Linked DNA regions of Tribolium castaneum. The protein of the gene in region 1 binds, or shares a complex with, the protein of each later gene. Links are inferred from orthologs where the notes say so. Each region holds a gene or a part of one and is shown in the gene's direction. Other genes may lie near its edges.

The links.
Region 2: wash (region 1) and CCDC53 share a complex: the UniProt entries of both Drosophila melanogaster proteins name them as parts of the WASH complex. The link is inferred for Tribolium castaneum from reciprocal best matches to the Drosophila melanogaster genes wash and CCDC53.

Annotation. Positions count from the first base shown.
Region 1 is NC_087403.1:4,501,379-4,504,859, reverse strand, and holds wash (WASH complex subunit 1), read left to right. Parts: upstream 1-1,470; 5' UTR 1,471-1,571; coding exon 1,572-2,654; intron 2,655-2,712; coding exon 2,713-2,901; 3' UTR 2,902-2,950; downstream 2,951-3,481. Other genes in the region: adenosylhomocysteinase-like 1, read left to right, coding at 1-83, 133-253, 301-307; uncharacterized protein LOC103314773, read right to left, coding at 2,991-3,033, 3,084-3,232, 3,279-3,331, 3,376-3,475. UniProt on the Drosophila melanogaster protein: Acts as a nucleation-promoting factor by activating the Arp2/3 complex to induce actin polymerization. Participates in both linear- and branched-actin networks.
Region 2 is NC_087402.1:711,036-715,305, reverse strand, and holds CCDC53 (WASH complex subunit 3), read left to right. Parts: upstream 1-1,383; 5' UTR 1,384-1,514; coding exon 1,515-1,565; intron 1,566-1,625; coding exon 1,626-1,790; intron 1,791-1,861; coding exon 1,862-2,100; intron 2,101-2,150; coding exon 2,151-2,193; 3' UTR 2,194-2,273; coding exon of another isoform or gene 2,274-2,411; 3' UTR 2,412-2,457; coding exon of another isoform or gene 2,458-2,631; 3' UTR 2,632-2,799; coding exon of another isoform or gene 2,800-2,802; 3' UTR 2,803-3,514; coding exon of another isoform or gene 3,515-3,619; 3' UTR 3,620-3,620; downstream 3,621-4,270. Other genes in the region: RpL36A (large ribosomal subunit protein eL42), read right to left, coding at 2,274-2,411, 2,458-2,631, 2,800-2,802; acidic leucine-rich nuclear phosphoprotein 32 family member B, read left to right, coding at 3,515-3,619. UniProt on the Drosophila melanogaster protein: Acts at least in part as component of the WASH complex which may regulate wash nucleation-promoting factor (NPF) activity and is required for its membrane targeting during endosomal sorting.

The DNA of each region.
Region 1 (3,481 bases):
GCAAGCTCTTGCTTTAATTGAGCTTTTTAACGCCCCAGCGGGGCGTTACAAATCTGACGTTTATCTTTTACCGAAAAAAATGGGTATTGACCTTAGGTTTGAGTGGGAAAAATTCTAATCAAAGTTTTATAGATGAGTATGTAGCGAGTTTACATTTACCGACCTTTGATGCCCACTTGACTGAATTGACGGACGAACAGGCTAAGTATATGGGCCTAAATAAAGCTGGACCTTTCAAGCCTAACTATTATAGGTAAGCGGGTTTGGCTTGATTGCCGATTATTGATGTTTTCGTTTAAGGTATTAAAAATATAAAGTTTTATCCATAATAAACGGGGTGAAGGAATAAAGGAACACGGTAGCATTAAGTCAATGTTAGTTGTTGCCAGATAGTTTAGCTATAATAAATGCAGGATTGATCATTTTTTAATGGTTGCTCAACCAATTCATGTTTCATAATTTTACTGAATCAAAAGTATTATTACTTAACACAAACAGTATTTTTTCTGCTAGTATTTATTTACATATCTCAGGATTTTATGAAACATTAATTGTGAAAAAATCGTTACGTTGTTTCAACTGTTGATTCATGGGTAAGGCTTCTGATCTTATTTAATTTTAATAAAAATTGGCGCAATGTTGAAACGCCTTCCCGTGAATAAAAATACGTTACTTACATGTTTGAAACAAAACTCGTGCATATGTAATCACTATCAGGTCTAGTATGTCATTGTTTTAGTTGTATTAAGTTACGTACTTAACTCGTTCTGGTTTTATTAATGGATTTAATAAGTGTATCTGATTGATTTTGTGATGAAGTCCAATGGTTTGTTTGTTTTGTCTCATCCCAGACGCTAGTCCAGTTGAATTGATACGCTTTTTATTAAGTAGTGCCAACACCCTCTAGCACTAAAATAATTTAAATGCAACCAGTTTGTTTAGCCGTTTTGACGTTAGTGATTTTGGAAAGTATTATTTTATAATGAGGATTTTTTACGGTCCTCCACATTTTAAATTATTATTGTTATTGTCAATATTACGACAAATTGTTACAAGTTAATTGCTCTACTTGAAGAAATTACTGAAGCAATTATACTCCACAATAACTTGCCTTTATCAACTTACAGCAGAGCAATCAACAACTCTTGTTAAGAAACCGGAATTGCGACTCTGTTTTTGAAGGCTGTTTTAAGGCTTTCAAAGACAGAATTGTCACATTTTTAAACGTACTTCTGTATACAAATTATCTTTAGATCTATATCTTTCTTTCGATATTTTATTTTAATCCACAAATCACATCATTCACAGCGTGACCCACGGGTCCGCCGTCTTCTTCTTTCTATGCCGTAATATAGAAATTAATACGTCAATGTGTTTTATTTTTATTCCTAAAACCTAAAACAATTTTTTGTCCTAACACAATTTGAAATTACTAGTAAATGTTAATTTATTGAGCTTGCGAATGGCGACACTGCTGTGATAAGATGACGTAAAAAACAAAACATAACCTGCAAAAAGTGTAGAGTGTAGTGTCATTTTTTTAATTAATTAATGTAGTTAGTTTATTTAAAATGAATCATGTTTACAAAGTACCTGTAATCCCTCAAAACTTGAATAAACAGGAAACAATCGTTCAGGTGGCTGAAGTATTAAATCATTTAACGAACGTAACAGATGACATATTAAAACATATAAATAACAGAATTGAATCTAGCAGAAAAAAGATATCAAACATATCCGAACGTGTCGATAAAGTGAAAATGAAAATAAACAAATTGAACGGTGCAAAAAAAGCAACACAAGTGTTTTCAAGTTGTAAATACCCAGCGTCCGATGTAAATCAACCCTATATTTCAATATTTAGCGACGTTAAACCTCCTGAATTAGTACGACATAAAGTGAAGCAGAAAAAAGCCCCATCAAACGATGAACATTTAGATAAATTGTACATCTACCACGTGAAACTCAAAAAAAATGAGAACAAAGAGACGTTCGGCGGCTTGGGGGAAATCCCCAAAGACTCGGAATGCGTAAACGACCTACTCCTCTACAATTCCGGCAAAAACCTCTACACGAATTTCGTAATGTCCGACCCTTTGGAAATCTCCCAACAAATCAAAGAACAAGACCACAACGACAGTTCGAGCATCGGGGCAGCCCCCTTCTCAATCAGCGAACGCTCAACCCTGACGCGCTCCTCCACCCAGAACTACTTCTACACCCCCAACTTGGGGGAAGTCCCGGCGCTCGACGTGCCCCTGGATCTGCCCGATTTGCCCAACATTGCCGACGACCTGCGGTACGACACGGAGTTGGGCCCCGGGATCGCCCCCTCAGTCACCACGACCCCGAACATCCCCGACCTGCCCACAATCGAACCCGCCAACCCCCAGCCCAAGGAGGACTTCCCCGAAATCGAACTCCCGCCGCCCCCAACACCCGCCAAAGAAATTGAGGAGCAAGTCCCAGAGAAGGTTGAAACGCCCAAACCGCCCACACCACCCACTGAACAGGTGGAGGAAGCCCCCAAAATCACCGAACTGCCCCAGCTGGACGTGCGGGCCAGCCTCATGGAGGCCATCAGGAAAGCGGGGGGCGCCAAAAATTTGAAAGCCACAAGTGCCGACAGGGAGCAAACGACGGCAAAACCCGTGGTTAGTTTTCGACTTTTGTTGATTGAAAAAGTTTAATAATTAGTTATTTGTTTTACAGACTGGGGGCGACTTGATGGCTGATTTGCACGCCAAGCTTTCCATGCGCAGGAAGGGCATCTCAGGTACTAAAAAGCAGGAAAGTTTGGACGCAAGTAGTGCGTTAGAAAAAATCTCGGCCATGATTCCGCCGCCCATTCGTAGCGAGAGCAACGAGAATAATACCGAAGACGAAGACTGGGATGATTAATTCATTTAATATTATATTTTATATCAATAAATATTATCATGTTACATAATGATTGTTTTCTTTACCCAATAAATTAATACAATTGTGCGCTAACTGTAGCAGGAATAACAAACTGCGACATTATGATCGTATCTAAAAAAAAACATTTAATTTTTTGAGCCACTCGGAACAAAGCCACTCACGTGGGAAATGAGCAATCGTTACAAAACCCATTACTGCATTTATGGCACATATTTGTGCACTGCAAACATAACGCGTGTTCACAATAGTTACAAATGACCCCCGAGGGGGCTTCTTTTGAACATACAGTACACATCAGTGAATGAGGTTCCTACAAATCAAATTAATAAAGTCTCACACCGATTCACATATTCTACCTCATTTTTCTCGCGTTTGGAGGCCCCCTTATATAATAACTGGAGCGTCCGCTCTGAAACAAATAATAAAAAACTGACATAACCTCAATGTGGTTACCTGACGACGATGAGCGAATTTTCCGCGATTTTGATAAACTATTTTGTTGTTTTTTCACCGGTTGTACGATATCGTAATCCGGATAAGGCCGTTTTGGCATTTTTTA
Region 2 (4,270 bases), on another chromosome or scaffold:
AATTTCGCGTTACAGCCTACTCTAGGTATATTTTTAGCTCGTTAAAAGTGACACTGACAGTGCTCATGTCTTATATTTGAATTTTTTAACCTTTTTTTAAATTAAAAAGCCGCGATATGTCGCCTATTACGCCCAAAATCGAAATCCCCCATCCATCAATGGGGCTGTGATCGGAATTATTACACAAAGTTATACAATTTTAAGTGTGTTGATGTTCAATTGTTTGGAAAGTTTAAAGGTAGATTGTTAGTGTTTTCTAAAGGCTTTATATCTTTATATCAGCTGAAGTATTAAAGTTTTTTACAAGTAAACAGTCTTTCATTGCGTCATAAGCTGCAGCCAACTGTCACCGGAATTAAGGTACATGAATGTTTTGCATGATTTTTTCTTATAACTTGTTTTGTTTTATTAATTGGTTGAGCTTATGTTGGCTAACAATTGGTTTGTTTAGTAGTTTTGCGTGATTTTAAGTTAATTTGTGATTTGGCCAATTTATTAATGATTTTTTGTTAGGGACGCACCAACCCTTCCTACTCAACATTCCATCCGAAGGCATTAAAGTCGAGCCCAGAGGTAATTTAATTTTATATTTTTCCCCGCTTTAGTGTTTTTTTCTAGATAAGGCGCCTTCGCCGTACGGCGGGCAGATGTTCGAGGCGCCCATCCCGAACGTGTCGCCCCATTACGTGGCCCCCACGCCCCCGGAAGCCCCTCTGTTCCAGAACGTGCTTCCGCCAATCGGAGGCATGATGAACTGGAATATGCCTTCGACTTCAGTAGTCGGCGATATGTTAAACATGAATTGGAATCCTTCCGCCCAAAATGATCTCAGTGGTGTTAATTTAAGTGAAACGCCAAGTGGTATAAGCAGTTTATTAAATCTGGACAATCAACAATTGGAGTTGAAACCGATTGACTTAAACTCGGGTGATTTAAGCATGCTTGAGACAAATAACTTGTCAGAGACTTTCACCCAAAATCTATCGCTTATGGACGAGAGTGAGGGGCGCCAGGAGCCGAATATGACTGATAGTTTAACGCGATTGGCCAATAGCGCGCTAGATAATATTTGCCAAGCTAGTGATATGTACAAGGGTGCTCCATGAAACCACCATTACTTAAGTCTAAGTAATGCAAAAGCGAGTTCAATATTTGACATTAAATATAACAGTACTGTGTACCGCCCTAAATTCAATGATAGTTTTCTTATAAAATTGTTAAGGTTTGTAGTTTAGTCTATATCAAGTTTATTTATACTGTGATTGTTTTTATATTTTACAAGATGCAATGTTATTTTATAAATCTGGCATAATAAATCTGTTTTATTGAGCGTGTTTGCGTTTGTTAATTGCATAAAAAGCGATCCTTTCGCCACAATCTAACCTCAAACGTCACTTTTGACAGCTGTCACTCAGGTTCTTTGTGTCCCTTTGGAGCCAATTAATTCAATAAACTTGTGCCGATGCCTTGATTCCCCCTAATTTTGAGTGTTTTTCACTCAGATAATGTAAATAATGCAAGTGAACGACCTTTCCTCAATTGATCCAAATGTGGATTACACGCAGGTAAGTCTTTGAAAAAAGCGACCCATTCGAGCAACAATCACGTCCAACTTCTCCACTTAGATTTTACCCATTCAACAAAAGCGCACGATTGCTTTTATCAATCATTTCGTAATGAATACGGTGTCGTTTTTAAACCATTTTGCACAGTCGTGTGAATCGCGTTTGATGGAATTCGAGTACAAACTGCAAGAAGTTGAGGCTTCTTTACTTATACTTGAGTCGCAAGTAAGTATTGAACAATGCTAGAATGCCTTAAGTTCCGATTATTTGGCGCAAAAGTGAGTCGGTTGTGTTAGTTAGGTTCAATTGCGCATTTAGAAGAAAACACTGCAAAGGACTCGCCTAAACAAAACGATTTAGATCTGCCTCCTGTTAAAGACGAGGAGACGCAAATTGAAAAAAATGTAGAGGTAGAGCCTGATGTTGCGTCAGACCCGCGATATCAACGCTTTTTCAAAATGTTGCAATTTGGGGTTCCCCCAGCTGCTGTCAAGCTGAAAATGCAAACAGAGGGACTTGACCCTTGCATATTGGAGTAAGTACTACTATCACTGGCGAATCAGCAACACGTCCGTTATTTTTTAGTTCCAAATCAACTGATACGCAAGACAGTTCCTCGGTTAATTAATTGTGTTAAAAAAACATTGTTAAAAGTATAAATAAAACACGTTATGAATTTTTACAAAATGTGTTTATTTAGTCAAACAATTAGAACTGAATCATTTGTCCCTTGCGCTTCTTGTCGCCACCCAATTCAAAGTGCTTGCAGCGTTTCAAGGGAATCTGTTTCCTATATTTACATTCAGTGCATTCCATCCTGAGCACGATTTTCTTGGTGGTTTTAGCCTAAAAACACACAATAGCCCCACACTCAAAGTAGGTAAAAAAATACCTTCTTCCTGAAGATGGGCTTGGTTTGTCCACCGAAACCTTGCTGCTTCCTGTCGTAACGTCTCCTACCTTGCGAAGCGTGACGTTCCTTGGACTTTTTGTATTGGGTGACTTTGTGCAACTTGTGCACCTTGCATTTCTTGCAGAAGGTGCGCCTCTGCTTCGGGACGTTAACCTAAAAACAATGACATAACCCCACAATTCATCAAACGTCCTCAAAACGCGAAAATAAACAGGAATGTGCCCTTCCAAGGACGCCAAATGCACGAATTCGCTAAATTTTCGGTAATTCAAAGGCCGATTATTGCGATTTTTTGAGATATTTGATTGAAAACCTGCTTACCATCTTGGGATTTTCTTTATTGCAAAAAAAAGAGAGAGATGCAACGTGTCACACTATGCGCATGCGTCGTTTACATTGGCGCGAATTTTGAATTGCTATATTGGATGAAAGATAGAAAAGTGTTTCGTTATAAGTTTATAGAGTTTTAATTCGTTTCACGTGGTCGCAAGGAAAAATAGAAGAAAAAGTTTTTAAGACGCATTTTTGCGGCCACAAGGGAAAGGCGTTTTAATTAGTGGGTAACAAGTCGTGCCGAATAGTTCCCTTTTAAATTGAGTCAATAATCGGCTGTTTTTCTGCATAATAATAAAATGAATGTGATTGTGGAGGGAAATTTTTTGAAGAGCGCCCCTGGCGGTGGCATACTCAAACCACGTTTTTAATCTCGGTCCGGTTCGTAAAACTCAATCCGTGCTCTCGGAACCCTCATGAGCAAACACCTTGCAATTAATTTCATAAAATCTGGCGCACGTTTTTTGGGTCCGAGACACCGAAAAAGCTTGGAATTTGTTGTCTTTTGGTTTTTGGCGGTTGGTGTGAATAAATAGTTTAGGGAGTCGAAAGCCGGTCACTCGTCCAAGTCCGGGGCCGATCGGTTTGAGCGGCGCCATCTTAATTTTTGAACAAAGCTAACGAGTAGCCGGTCAGTAGTGTTCAACGTTGGTGAACGTCACTTTTCGATAAAGCGTGAAACCCACACAGGAATATAAACAAAATGAGTTCGAAAGAAAATAACGAAGTTGCTGTCGAAAAAATCGACAACGACAAAAGTGCGCCCGACGCCAAATGCGAGTTAAAAGGCACGAAGCGAGCGGCGGAGGTGAGTTCGACTGTTTCTTTCGCATTTACGCTGCTTTGCGATAAGGTCACATGGCCGTTGGATGTTGTGGTCGGGATTTTCGCGTGGAAAACGCGCGGAAACGCCGTTTTCACGCGTTTTCCGCGGGATGGTTGCCATGTGAACGGGGCTTTTTCCCGGCGCGGAGGCGGCTTTGCGACAATACGATGCTAAATTTGTTGTTGCCATGGTGTTTTCGACTGTTTTTCATTATGGCATGCGGTGTAAACACGCTTGGAAAGCATCCCGCCATATACAATGGACCCCGGGTTGAGGCTAGCATCGCTTGCTCGATTCAATATGGCGAAATCAATAGCAACTTGGAGGCGTCCTCGTGCGAGGCTAGATGCCACACTAATATTTTAATAACATCGGATTCTAGAAAGATTTCCGCGTGCGAGTTGACGATTTCGTTGCAAATTTCACGATAACCCGGAGATTGACCACTTTGGTCCGGTTTTTCAATGCAAAGCGTCTCATAAAGCTCGCTGGAATCAACAGAGTTGGACATTTTTGATGCTACGCTAACGAGTGGCAAAGATTAAGATCCATCATGGATCAGAATTGTGAATGAAAAGAGCGTTTTTAGTTAGTTTGCTTGTTTATTTCCATTTTCTCGAGCAAGTCGTGGTA